2 linked regions of the Styela clava genome follow. The protein of the gene in region 2 interacts with the protein of the main gene of each other region in a pairwise test. Links are inferred from orthologs where the notes say so. Each region holds a gene or a part of one and is shown on either strand. Other genes may lie near its edges. The genes, in order: U6 snRNA-associated Sm-like protein LSm2 and U6 snRNA-associated Sm-like protein LSm8.

Region 1 (6,677 bases), on a different chromosome or scaffold from region 2:
TTAAATAAATACAATTTTCTTGATTGCATCTAGCGATACCAAAAATACCCTTCGACGAATTATCATTATCTCCACCCATCATAATAGGACTGCCATACTTTTGAAAATGTTCGTTTATACTTTGTATGTGATTCACAAGTTGCCCTTGGGGAACATGCACAATTCTACAGGGTACGTCATACACATAATCTATGCATATTGATATTTCGAAAGAACCAATCCACTCTTTTGACCCCATAAATGAATGCTCCTTATCACCCATTGAAACCAATGCATGCTGAACCTCTGATATAGATGGTACATGTCCTGTAATTTTATCATAAATTTTGTCATTGTTTGTGGTTTCATTTTTACTTTTTGTCCTGTTTTTCTGTTTATGATAATGTATCCAACTGCACATAGTCTGTAGAGTTCTGTAACCACAACCCCATCCTCTGTCGTCTACTCCATCACATAAATAATGATAATACGCATATGTGCCTTTGACCGCTTCAACTTTACAATTCTCCAAAGACTCATTCAATAAATCACGGTGGATATCATGGGGTAATTCATCAGGGAATTTTGTTGATTTGACCGGTGACATGCTCATGGCTATTCAAATTTATCAATCAGATTCAGCATACTAAAATATGAAATCACAAGACCTAAATAGTTCAAAGCAGTATTAGGTACGAAAATTGGCACGAAATTGTTATGATTGAAATATGGTTCATGTGGATGAAATGGCAACAATCACTAACATACAAAACCAAAAAAATTCATCAATTTGTCAGTGTAGGTTGATGCAAAACATGCCAGATAAAAGCAGCATAAATGGTAAAAACATGATTCTTATTGGTGGAAAGAGATAATGAAAAACTGCAATGAATTTTTGGGTCACAGTAATGTATATCAAGAAGATAGAGCAATCAGCTTTGTATTGACTATCAAAAATTACCTTCTAATCATGTCATAAATTTTCGATTGAATATGTTAATGAATTCTCCCTGAAATTTCAACCGATAAAATAGATTTTGATAACTGTATTTTGAGATACAAAACATACATTTAGATTTTGACTATGCTCTTATTCACCTTTTACCAATTACAATGGTGAATTAAAATAATGAGGCTCTTAACGCCAGACATATTTGTTGCAAGATATTCACTGCTTTCTGAACTTGGTATGAATCAAACACTGAGATGTCAATTTATGTGAACATTGTAGGATACTATGACAGAATTGTGATGCAAATTCATGATTTTATTTTCTCAGAGATAAATACACTTCAAAACTGCTACTAAATTTGGAGTTCAGGAAATATTCTTCAAAAAATTCCTGACCAATTTTTCCGGGTTTAGTGAAACAAGAAAGACAATAAATAAAACCACATCGCCATCCCTATTTTATGCCACACTGGCATATGCTTTAGGTAATGTAAATAGCAGAATATTTATTGTTCACATAACTAAAATTCAAGTTTGGTCATTTTTTTGTCTCGTCTCAGTGGTGAGAAATAAGACAAATTTTAGATAGCATAATTTTCAAATAGTGATACTGCAACATAGAGCATCGATTTTCAATATATTAATAACTTTGGAACAGATAGTTCATGAGTGTAAGTACTGTCCATAATTTGACTCAGTATTGATAATGAGATATTTTGTCAATACTCGAGACATTCTCAATGTATGCAATATTCTATCATGTGAAATGCGCTAGTTTAAATTTCATTCACACTAAATTGCACCATAAATGTCTCTCATTGTTTGCTTTGCGCAGCTTCTTTTCTTGCTGCGTCTTGAAGTAGTGTTGTGTCGACCTCATCAGCTGGAAGTTGCACATATCGAACAACTGACCCTCTTATAAAACAATTTTTCACAGATAACATATGTGGATATTTTTCTGGATCTGTTACACTTATGTCTGTTAATTTGATATTCAGATATTGATCCACTGAATGTAAAGTTCCACATATACTTAAATCATTCTTCAGTTCCACAACAACGTCTTTTCCCACAAGTGATTTAAAAAATGAGTAGAATAACATGATTCCTATCAAAATGAGATTCTGTATTAATACTGTAATAAGTTTATCTTACTGACCAGGCAGCACTTTGCTACCGTATGTCAATAAATAAACAGTTCAAAGATTTTTATATAGTATATAAGTAGTCTAGCCTAACTGTAATTTCTGAAATTAGAAATATGATAATACTGTAGTAAATATCAGTTTTATAGATAACTTCCCTCGGAGTCGGACCATAGCCAGATAGCCCAGCAGCTGTGAAAAATTTTGCATTCTGGTTCCAACTTGTAATATTCATCCAAGTCATTGGTATTCGTATATCATATACAGATATACTATCTCACTACAGCACCAATCACACCAGCCCACCATAGCTAAATAAGTTTAAATATTGGTACATTAACAGACAAGGTCTATATTTCTATCACTGTAGGCATTTTCTGGCGCTTCATCGTGGTTGTTGGATAATCCGGAACTGAAATTCTGTCGGTTAACCGGATCAAAAGTAACGATACGCCGGTATGCGTAATATCAATTAAGACGTTAACTTGATAATTATGATGAAGAAATATGTACCGGTATGAAGACTCTTCGTCACACAACAAACAAACTATCTAACTCGGGTGTCATTTACAGTTTACACGACTCAACAGTCAGCGCGTTGTACGTCCTACGAAATGTAAAAAATTAAAATTTTATTATAGAAACAATAAACGCAAAAATGCATGATTTTCTTTCTTGCAATGTATGTGCGTATATTTCAAGAAAGATTACTCTAAAAAATTTACAAACGCTGTTAGCAGCAAGAGGTTTATAAAATAAATAATAAACTAAACGGCAATAAACATAAAAATAAAATCAGTCTCCGGTAGATGCTCGACTCAACACTCGACATCATAATAACATTTTTATATGAAATCAACAGAAAATTTGAAGAAGAATATAAAAAACCTTACAATAACAGAATAATGGGAAAATATATAGCAACAACAAATAAACGATTTACCCTAATTTGATGTAAATTTATGAGAACAAAGTTAATTTTTCCCAATTTTCTAATAATGAATTTCGTAGAAACCAAGTTTTCAGAAACATGTTTTTATTAACATCAATAACAAATAAATTCATTTTCTCGGGGTATTAAAACACAGATTCAAATATTTAGATGTAAGTTTCTATCCGTACGACGTACATAGTTGGTGTATTATGTTAATATGATTTTCTGCTTATGACGTGTTACGATATTATGTTCGTTTTTATTATTTGTAACGCTTTGTCAAACATATCCTATTTAATCTCTGGGAATATTTGACAAAAAAAAACAGAACTCATTGAGGTGCAACAGCATATAAAATGAATGACTAATTCGAAACAATTTTCAGAAAATGAAAATTCATATGCCAGAAGACCACGATCGAAAAGTAGAAAGAAGCCTCTTAACAAATACATTAAATTTGAAAAAAAAATGCATCAGACATTTAGGTGAAAGTTTTTCACGCGTCGACCTTTCAATGTTTGCTAGCTCTGGTGATAACAAGACTGAATTACTTTGTGGATTCGCGCAAACGACCTGAAGGGTTATCAGTAGAAGACGAATTGCTTTTTCTTAATTTCAAAACACCAACCAGGAAACGAAAGCATTGGACTTAAAATAGTTACAATTGCTCTTTTCTGACCTTACCACGTGTGAACTTTTTGTCATGTATGTTTGTATTAATATATATATTTTTAATTCGAATAATTGCTATCTGGCCTCATTTATAAGCTAAACACGATAACAAAGTAAACTATTTACGGTTCGCGCAAACGACCAAAGCACCTACCTAGATCAATAGAGGACAAATCGCTCTTCTTACTTTCAAAAAACCGAAACATAAACGATATCCGGTGCGATACAAATGCGAAATATATTTGTGAAAAGCGTGTTCAAAAAACAATGAAACTGTTATGATCAATCTTACTTTGTCATTGAGTAAAATACCACGAACATTTTCATTTGAAAAGCTGTTCAAAAAATCAAATCTAAGATATTGAGTTGGCAGAACCAAACTTTGTGATCTATGGATATAACTATTGAAAGCTATTGTGTTTTTATATAAAAGTTGTAAGCTACTATTGATATCCACCGTATCTCCAGTATATATATCGTATCGACTGCATGCAAAGGTATTTATGGTTACACAATGTTGGGAATTGAAAACAAATTCAGCGAATGGGGAATGTAACTAAGATTTATCGCCTCAATCAATACTTTTTATTAATTATGTGTAAATTCAATGAATAGGTAATTTTCTCTATTTCCTGATTATGATTTATCACAACAAGCAACGAGTCGTAGCAATGCTTCTTTGTATCGACCGATTTGTGACGTGTTCCCGGCCTTCATTGGAGAGTTGAGAATAAAACAAATAAAAGAATAAAATGTTTTGTGCCTTTCTTTACTGCCGCACAATTCCGCACCCATGGGCAATTGTACCCATACATTTGCACCTTAGATTTTAGCACCCCCATACAAATTACGCACGTTTGCACCCAGATACATTTCTAATCACGAACATTTGCACCCATGCAAAATCGTGTTAGATATATTTATTATACACACCAAAAATATCTTTAAACTATTTGAAAAAGTAGGCTATGTAAATTTTCGGCAATTTTCAACAATGGTGGAAGCTTTGTAATATGTTTTGCTATCTGCGCGATAGAATCAATAATAATACACCATGTGTTGTTTAAGTACTACAAAAATTTTATAGCTACGAAGACCAGAACCAATTAAAACTTTCTCAGCCTCTTTTCGAACTAACTATACAAGTGCAACTGTAGTAGATTCTATCCTTCCCATTCAGCTTCAAACCATGTGCCAGCTACTGGTGATCCGAGGCCGTATTTTTCGGCTATCTTCTTTGCACTTTGGCCACCTCTGAATCCGCCATTTGGGCCTATTTTCTCGTCCATAAACTTTATTTTGTCCGATTGTTGGAAAACTAATATGACGTAACGGTGTGGGCCTAAAAGTGACACAATATATATAATTAAAATATGATTTTTAGCTGTTCTATGTTCAAAATTTTTCCAAAAATACTGCAGTATTTATGCAAAAGAAGTTTATTTAATCTCACTATGGAGAATCATATCTATGGATAATACCTGTTCCTTTGGGAGGCGTAGATCCCATGTATGTGGTGATTACTTCTCCTTCGTTTACGTTATTCTCTGGGATATTGATGACGCCCCAGTGAAACCATTCGCGAAATGTTGGATTTTTCCGACTAGGAGCATCTAGGTCCATCATTAACAGGGTATAAAATTGATCTTTCTCCGCAGTCCATTTGACTGTAGGTGCAAACTTTACTTGTGTTGGTGTCAATTTCGTTCCCCCTTTTTTGACATCTATGCTTCCAAAAGACACTTCTGTCTGCTCGCATGGTGTATTAAGATTTAAATCAGATTTTAGATCATGCTGTATCCAATCTTGGCTGAATGTATCAGTTTCCGCAAGTACTTGGGAAAAATCATCACCGATAACTAAATTGAAAAATGGAGAGAACTTAATGTTGCTCTAAATCAACGCAATGTAATGCATTATACATTTCCTATTATTTAAGTTTCTACAATTTTCAGTGCTACCATGGTTAATGATTTTTGTTTGAATAAATGTAAAGCAATTACTCCTCTAATGAAAAACTATTCAAATACTACATTACTACTCATATTTTAATATCAATACAAATATCACGCGACGAATTAATATTTTTATACAGTATAGGTAAGTCACTTTAAAAGTGAATTATCAGTGTGTTGAAATTCATTAATTCAAGTGCGCTATCACAACACCATTGCTTAGGAAATGTAAAGATAATGATCCAATAATTGTCTCAAATTTCAGATTGGAGAACAATGAACTACAAACACAATTTTACCAACTTACAATCATTGATAAACATATCTGACATCCAAGCTGTTAATAAAATCAATCAATAAATAGATGAACTATCCATCAGTTAATAAATTAAGTTAACAAATTATCTAATATACTCACATTCATGTCCGTAGCAACTGTAAAAATATAAGAAATATAATTATTTAGTACAAATGCGTGAACAAAATGGTTGCTTTTTCTGCAATTCTTATAAAAATGACTGTTTACATTTCGAAACCCAAATAAATATAAATTTTAAATATAAACGAACATATGTAATTGACTCTTGTGTTCTGTTATTTGCAACAGTGAAATATGTTTTTATTTCTATGCATTCTTGTGCATATACAAAATGCCAGACTATAATTTCCTGTTGCAGCAGATTTACAATAATCACATTTTTTTGATATCTGAAATTACGCAAAATTAAATAAGTCAATGAATATAAATCGATATGACGGGTAACGTAATATACATATACAGCCACTAACGTACATATACAGCCAAGTCAATAAACATAGGATAGGATAGGATTTACATATTTATCCCGGGGGAGAGGAAAGCCGATAAGACGGCTTAACCATATGGCGAACCACGGCCTCTCGTCCGGTTACCATTCCAAGTCGGGTATGGGATTAGTTTTACTGTATTGTTTGTTTTCGGAATCATGGACTTGGTGGTGGAGGAAGCCGTAACCGACCAGCGGTTACGTGAACCACCCAATGACGGCGAGGAGTCCAGCA
Region 2 (6,181 bases):
TTTCTGATTTGAGTCTATTAAACGTTTTTTCTTCAAGGTATTTTATTTTTAAAATTTTTCTTCCTGCAGGTCGGCATAAAAGGAAACCCTAAAGGCATCAATACAGGGTTGGACTGTGATGTACTTGTGGCAGAGGTAAATTTGCAATTCTTTAAAACAGAACTCGGCAATATGTTTGAAGGTTACAATTATATCTTTATATTCGTTGTAGGTAAGAGACACCAGTCACAAACCAGATGAAATCTATGGTATTATAGAAAGGCTTTCTCCTGGCACAAGAAAATTGGAATTATTCGGCAGGATGCACAATGTACAGCCAAACTGGTAATTATCCTCGATGCATGCACCTTTCTTTATAAGCATTTCTAAACTGTATGATCTTTATTATCTGTTCTTGCTACAGGGTAACACTGGGAAACCAACTCGATGGAGTGCACTTGGTCGAACCAGACGTTGTTGGAAAATTTAAGCAGAAGTATCCAGATGGGAAAGTCACAAAGCCTGCAACCAAATCTTCTAATTGACACTTTATTTAAAAATAATAAAAAATAAACGCACTGCCTATAGATTTCAGTTCATTAGAATTTCCGCAATCACAGATGTTCTTTATGATCAAGATCAGAATTATGCGGAGGTGGAGGAAAGAATTTATCTAATACAGCAGCAATCCATCTATGGTCTGGATCCCTTTTAGGTTTTGTCAATGAACAACAGCATTCAAAGGTGCAGCTTTTATGTTTGCCAGGTCCAGTGAGGAGTCTGTAGCATCGTCTATTTCTCCGACGAGAGCACTGCAAAAAGTGAGCTTGGTTTTAATACATGTATAGTGGAAGGATATTAGAAGAAACTGCCCATAAATATCCAACTGAACTGAAATTGATGCAATGGCTGCTAAAATTAGTTTTTAAGTAGCAGTAATATTTGCATGAAAATCACAATACTTTTCTAGTCATGATTTTGCTCTGAAGACGACTTGGCAGCAAATAAGTTCATACAACCAATAATTCCTCTACCTATATATGAAAATTGTAAATACCAAATGATCTCTCGTTCTAAAATATTATTTAGATTCCTGTTCAAACTTGGATAAAAAAAGGGCTTGAAACGCTTGCAAATATTAAATAATATTGGCTTCGCTTTTCAATGCAGATCTGAATAGGACCTTCCCAATGAATAAAAGGCTAGTTGTACTCGAAAGGGCACGTTGGTAAAAATAATTTAGATTTATATATTTCTTATACAAGTATTTGCAGATTACATAGTAAAGCAACTCACACATTGTCTCCTCGAATAATGTATAGTCCAAGCATGACTTGTTCGACACCTTGTGATGATGAAAACACTCTTTCATGACTCTCATCAAGAATAATGTTGACAGTCTGATCAAATCCCTTCAAAGTTCCAACTATCATTCTTCCATCGCCAGTGATCACAGACACAACATCTAATAAGTTTGTATTAAGGAAAATTTTTACAGAATTACCTTGAACTATATATTCCTGGCACTTATACATACCGTACTAATTAAAACTGAAGATCTAAACAAAACGAACTGTCTATCGAAATACATATAAAGTTAAGTGACTTTTGTCACTGTAAAGCTATCTTGACGATTGAAATGTTTTATGATCTTCTATTCAATTGCATTTTCAAAGGATACGATTCACAAGAGGCTCAAGCGCCATCGCCATGACGCCGCTGTCCAATGTGCTCAGATCAGTCGAAATAGGATTGCTCGGCTAGAAGATTCACACAACGCGCCACACTGTCTGACTGTAGCACCGAAACGCACGATTTCGATATACTGTAGTGGCCTGTGAGAGGGAGAGAGATTTATTTTACACGAAACGAAATTTGATGCCCACCTGAGGAATGGACCTTTCCCCGAGCATCGACTTCCTTGTTTACTTTGTGACATTGGCCAATCAGCAAGATGCAAAAAGTGACGTAACAATGCCCCCTTTTCGCATTCGCTCAGACACTTTTCTCACTCAGACAGATTTTCAAGCGCGGTTGTAAACATTACCTCGTTTTCGCGTTTTTGAACTCTATTCGTTAGTTTTCAGTTGTGTTTCGGAAACTTAAATATAAATCAGATAATTCAATGATCACTCTGTCTTCCTAGGAGTTTTAATTAAATTGCAGTAATAAAAATTAGTTTAGAAATAGCTGTGATAGACTAGCCTGAAATTCTTTACCGGTACTTTAAAAAAACAAATCGTTGTATGCGATGAATCATAATGATGGTTTAAAACACCTACTCCATTTTACAAGCGCCAACTCGCAAAAGCACTCCTAAAATAGCCTCGGAAATTTTGCAATGGTAAAGTATAGGAAGAATTTTCCAGGGGTTAAAAGTCGGGGAAAGGTCCATACTTTGGCAATGTTGCTGGAGGTGAACAATATGCCTAGATATATATAGTATTCATTATAAATAATATTGTGCAAATTCAGATATATCTATGTGAAATAACATATTTTGATATTACGGAAAGCGTCTATCGTGCGTGGTGACCCGTGTTTAAAAGGTCAAATTACATACCGAAAATAAACATAAAATCATTTTGCAGATGTTGGTCTGTTGTTAGCTCGCCTTGTTTTGTTGGGTTGGTATTTTCAGCGTTCTGTAATCAGTGAAAGTCCGAATGCATTGCAACATTGTGTGGATGTGAATTAAAAAGTGGTGCAGATTTCTATGGATGGAATGCAGTCTTAATATAGAATCTTCGGCACTAGTTCATTAAACGCCGTCAAGTGCTTCTAGTTGGCGTGGCATACGGTACCGGTAGTCATTTTTGAACCACACCTGACTATGTCATCTGAAAATTATGACACACAAACGATCACCCGAAATCGAGCAAGCCATTTATCTCGTCGCATCGATCCCGATATAACTATATGAGAGCGATCGCTGATTTCTTTATCGTTGGCGCAGATACCATTTTGGGCGATCGTAGGTATACTTTGGCAAGCTCTATGACATGATTGTGACATAATTTTTGGATGGCTGAGTTTGGTGGGGGTTAAGATTGACATGTGCATAAATCGTTATGCTATGCCCACTAGAAGTACGAAACTACACGAGACCCTGAAAATCATACCTTTTTCTGAATTTAGTAATTAATAACATATTTTCTATTTTATTCATCAAGACATGGATAAAATTATGAGTGAAAATGTGGGTGATTCTACTAAAAAAAATGATGAGTATTACCGAAAAAAGTACAAACGATTGAGAAAAACAGTGATAGAAATTGTGCACCAGAATGGTGCTTTGTGTGAAGAAATTGCAAGAACTGAAGACAAGATTTCCACTGTGAAAGCCGAAAGGAAATATCTTTTAAAAAAGCTTATGCAATATGAAAAACCAAATCTTAATTCTTTGAAATCATCCAAGGGAAATAAATCTCAGAAAACAGCAAACACAAAAGTAAAAAAATCTTCAAAAACATTTGGTGAAGGTACAACGAAAACAGGTCAACAAAAAGCAAAATGTACAATGGTGAACCCTATTCAAGTGGATAATAATGGCCGGCCAATTTTTCCCATTGAGATTGGGGATTTATCTGTGTACAGTATAGGTGAAATCGTTCATGATCGACCCAATTATCATAACAGAAAATTCATCTTCCCTGTTGGTTATTGTTCAACGAGATCTTTTAACAGCATTTCTTCTCCAGAAAGCGAGTGTCTGTACACATGTAAAATATTTGATGACAGCATAAGTCCAAGATTTGAGATATCTCCGGAAGATGCACCAGAAATAACATTCTTAAGCCAATCAATATCAGAAGTTTACGCTTCTTTTTTGTTAGCTGCTGCTCCTCAAAATCCTGACAATCTCACTTTGAGTGAGTATGATTTCTTCGGACTTTCTCATCCCATTATACAAAACCTTATTCAAAGTTTGCCTGGTGCAAGTGAATGCTCGGGGTATGAATGGAAAAAATTTGAAGTAGTGCGACCTGCCAAATCATCTCAGGCTGTCGCTGGTCATCAAAACCTTAACGCTGATTTGGTGAAAACTGGGAAAAGCAGATCAAGACAATCTGATATTAATATAGAGGCTTTGGAGAAATGGGCAAGGGATTTGTCATAGCATAAAATAGTTTTTTAATCTTTATTGGTTTCCGTTTTGTCGAAAACATTTGTGAAAATATTTGACAAATGAGGAAGAATAGCATACATTCTTTATGTCGCTATAAAATATTGCAGGCAGTTTCAAATTTTGCTCTTAATAGCAGTCCTCTGTGTTGTGGGGTGACAGCTAATAATTTTACAAGGCTGTACAAATTACTGTTGACTACAACTCTCTGCTCAAACTTTCACCACACCACTTTTTTTTACTTTTTTGCACAATTCTAAAATAAAATTGACCTGAACATTTTGTACTTTCATATAGTCGTGGGACTGTAGACTAAAAAATGCGCCTATTGTGTTGGAAGTCAATAATGAATGATTCAATATACAGATAATAAAAGCATGTTTTCTAGAAAACAAATTAGAGCAATATTTAATATAAACGAAAGTGTCAGTGCAAATACAAATATTTAAACTATTCACAGTATTAAAATATAAAATCTCATACTGCAGCAAGAAGTTTGAAAATTTAAAAAACCAAATAAGCATCATCTATCACTATATTGGTTGGATATTCGCTATGTGGGAAATATTTCGACACAACATTGAGGATTTATGAATTTAATTACAAGCCATTTTATTTATTTCACGATTCCAGGCAAGGAGTAAGTGCATGACTACAGCATGTGCAACTTTGGGAATATGAAAAAGTATTTGAATGAATATAGATTTTGCGAATACGCCAAATAGATTTTGCTACTTTAAAAATGGTAAGAAAACCCCAGTGATGTGTAATGTTAAAAAAAAGTACTGCATGAAAAGTAAAAAAATATATATGATGAAGATTTCAGTCCAGAACTTTACTTTTGTAAAATGAATCCATAATTCTACGATTCTCAGATGTTGCTGCTTGCCATACATTTTCCAATTCATTTTCCATCAATCTGTAAGTTCAAATAAAGGTTCAACTACAAGAATGAACCACATTTAGGTTAAGAAGCAAAGTACAATCAGGCTGAATTAGCATCAAGAAGAGAAAACATTCAAATTATATATTCTACATTTGTATTTCCACATTATTCAGTATTTGGCTCCGCGGTTGGCATTGTACTATGTGTTAGAAATACACTTGAATAGCACCTCTAATTACCCAGCGTGGACCCGTCCACCATCAAGTCCGTAATCTGAAACAAATTACTGGTCGACTACTACCATACTCGACATGGACTGGTAACCAGATGAGAGGCTGTGTTTTGTCATATGATTATTTAATTACCTTACCAGCTTTTCCTCAGTGCCAGGATAAATAGGAGAAACTATACCAGGATGAGCATGGCCATAAAAGCGCACCCTGCCTCGTGTACCCCGTAATCTTAATTTGTACATTGGAAAAGAAAGTTTCTCAATGATCAACCAGAACGAGCTTTCAAATCACAATTCACCTCTTTTCATGGGTAACATCATCCAACATTGCTTGTTTTTGTTGTAACAATCTTCTTAGATGTGACATTTCTCTGTGATATTCTTGCAATCTTCCTTGATGACTTTCTTCTAAACCTCTAATCTTGTCCGTAATATTGTTCATCTGATTAGAAGCTTGCTTTTTGTATTGCTAATTGGTAAAAGATGAGTTATAAGGCTTAATCAATTATTGAATGGTTGGGCTTCGAATTTAAATGTTCTATACGATTATCAAGTGGAAACTGACATACAATGTGCATTCATCAATGGAGTCATTACAGTAATATGGAAACTTTAAAAGACTTCCAATCTAATTTTTAAATCTTGTCTTTCTTCAACATTAAATATTATTCATAAAAGCTGGGTAAGACTGTTATACCTTTACAGTTTGTTCCATTTTCCCCATTTCCCATTTTCCATGCATTTGTGATCTCAATGCTTGTTCAGTCATCCTTTGTTCTTTTTCAACAAGAGCTGCAAGTGCATCTCGCTCTGCTGAAGTTTTATCAACAAGTCTTAAAACTTCTGCTAAATGTGCTTCACATTCTGAATTTCTTTTGTCAGAGTCTTCTAGTTCAGATCCCATATCAGTGCATTTGTCTTGAAGTTTGCTACAAAAAATTTGAACAATTAGTTACTC

Evidence for each region.
Region 1: the proteins of U6 snRNA-associated Sm-like protein LSm8 (region 2) and U6 snRNA-associated Sm-like protein LSm2 interact in a two-hybrid assay, tested with the Drosophila melanogaster proteins (2 studies listed by BioGRID). The link is inferred for Styela clava from reciprocal best matches to the Drosophila melanogaster genes CG2021 and CG10418.

The regions. Positions count from the first base shown.
Region 1 is NC_135250.1:9,209,850-9,216,526, reverse strand, and holds U6 snRNA-associated Sm-like protein LSm2, read right to left. Parts: upstream 2,173-6,677; 5' UTR 2,034-2,172; coding exon 1,746-2,033; 3' UTR 648-1,745; downstream 1-647. Other genes in the region: ufm1-specific protease 1-like, read right to left, coding at 1-592; protein D2-like, read right to left, coding at 4,845-5,023, 5,163-5,540, 5,944-5,973, 6,055-6,071.
Region 2 is NC_135263.1:8,561,831-8,568,011, forward strand, and holds U6 snRNA-associated Sm-like protein LSm8, read right to left. Parts: upstream 1,820-6,181; 5' UTR 1,692-1,819; coding exon 1,661-1,691; intron 1,445-1,660; coding exon 1,276-1,444; intron 792-1,275; coding exon 701-791; 3' UTR 525-700; downstream 1-524. Other genes in the region: N(6)-adenosine-methyltransferase catalytic subunit METTL3-like, read left to right, coding at 70-135, 212-324, 404-524; transforming growth factor beta regulator 1-like, read left to right, coding at 3,155-4,099; centrosomal protein of 89 kDa-like, read right to left, coding at 4,928-5,024, 5,523-5,692, 5,921-6,152.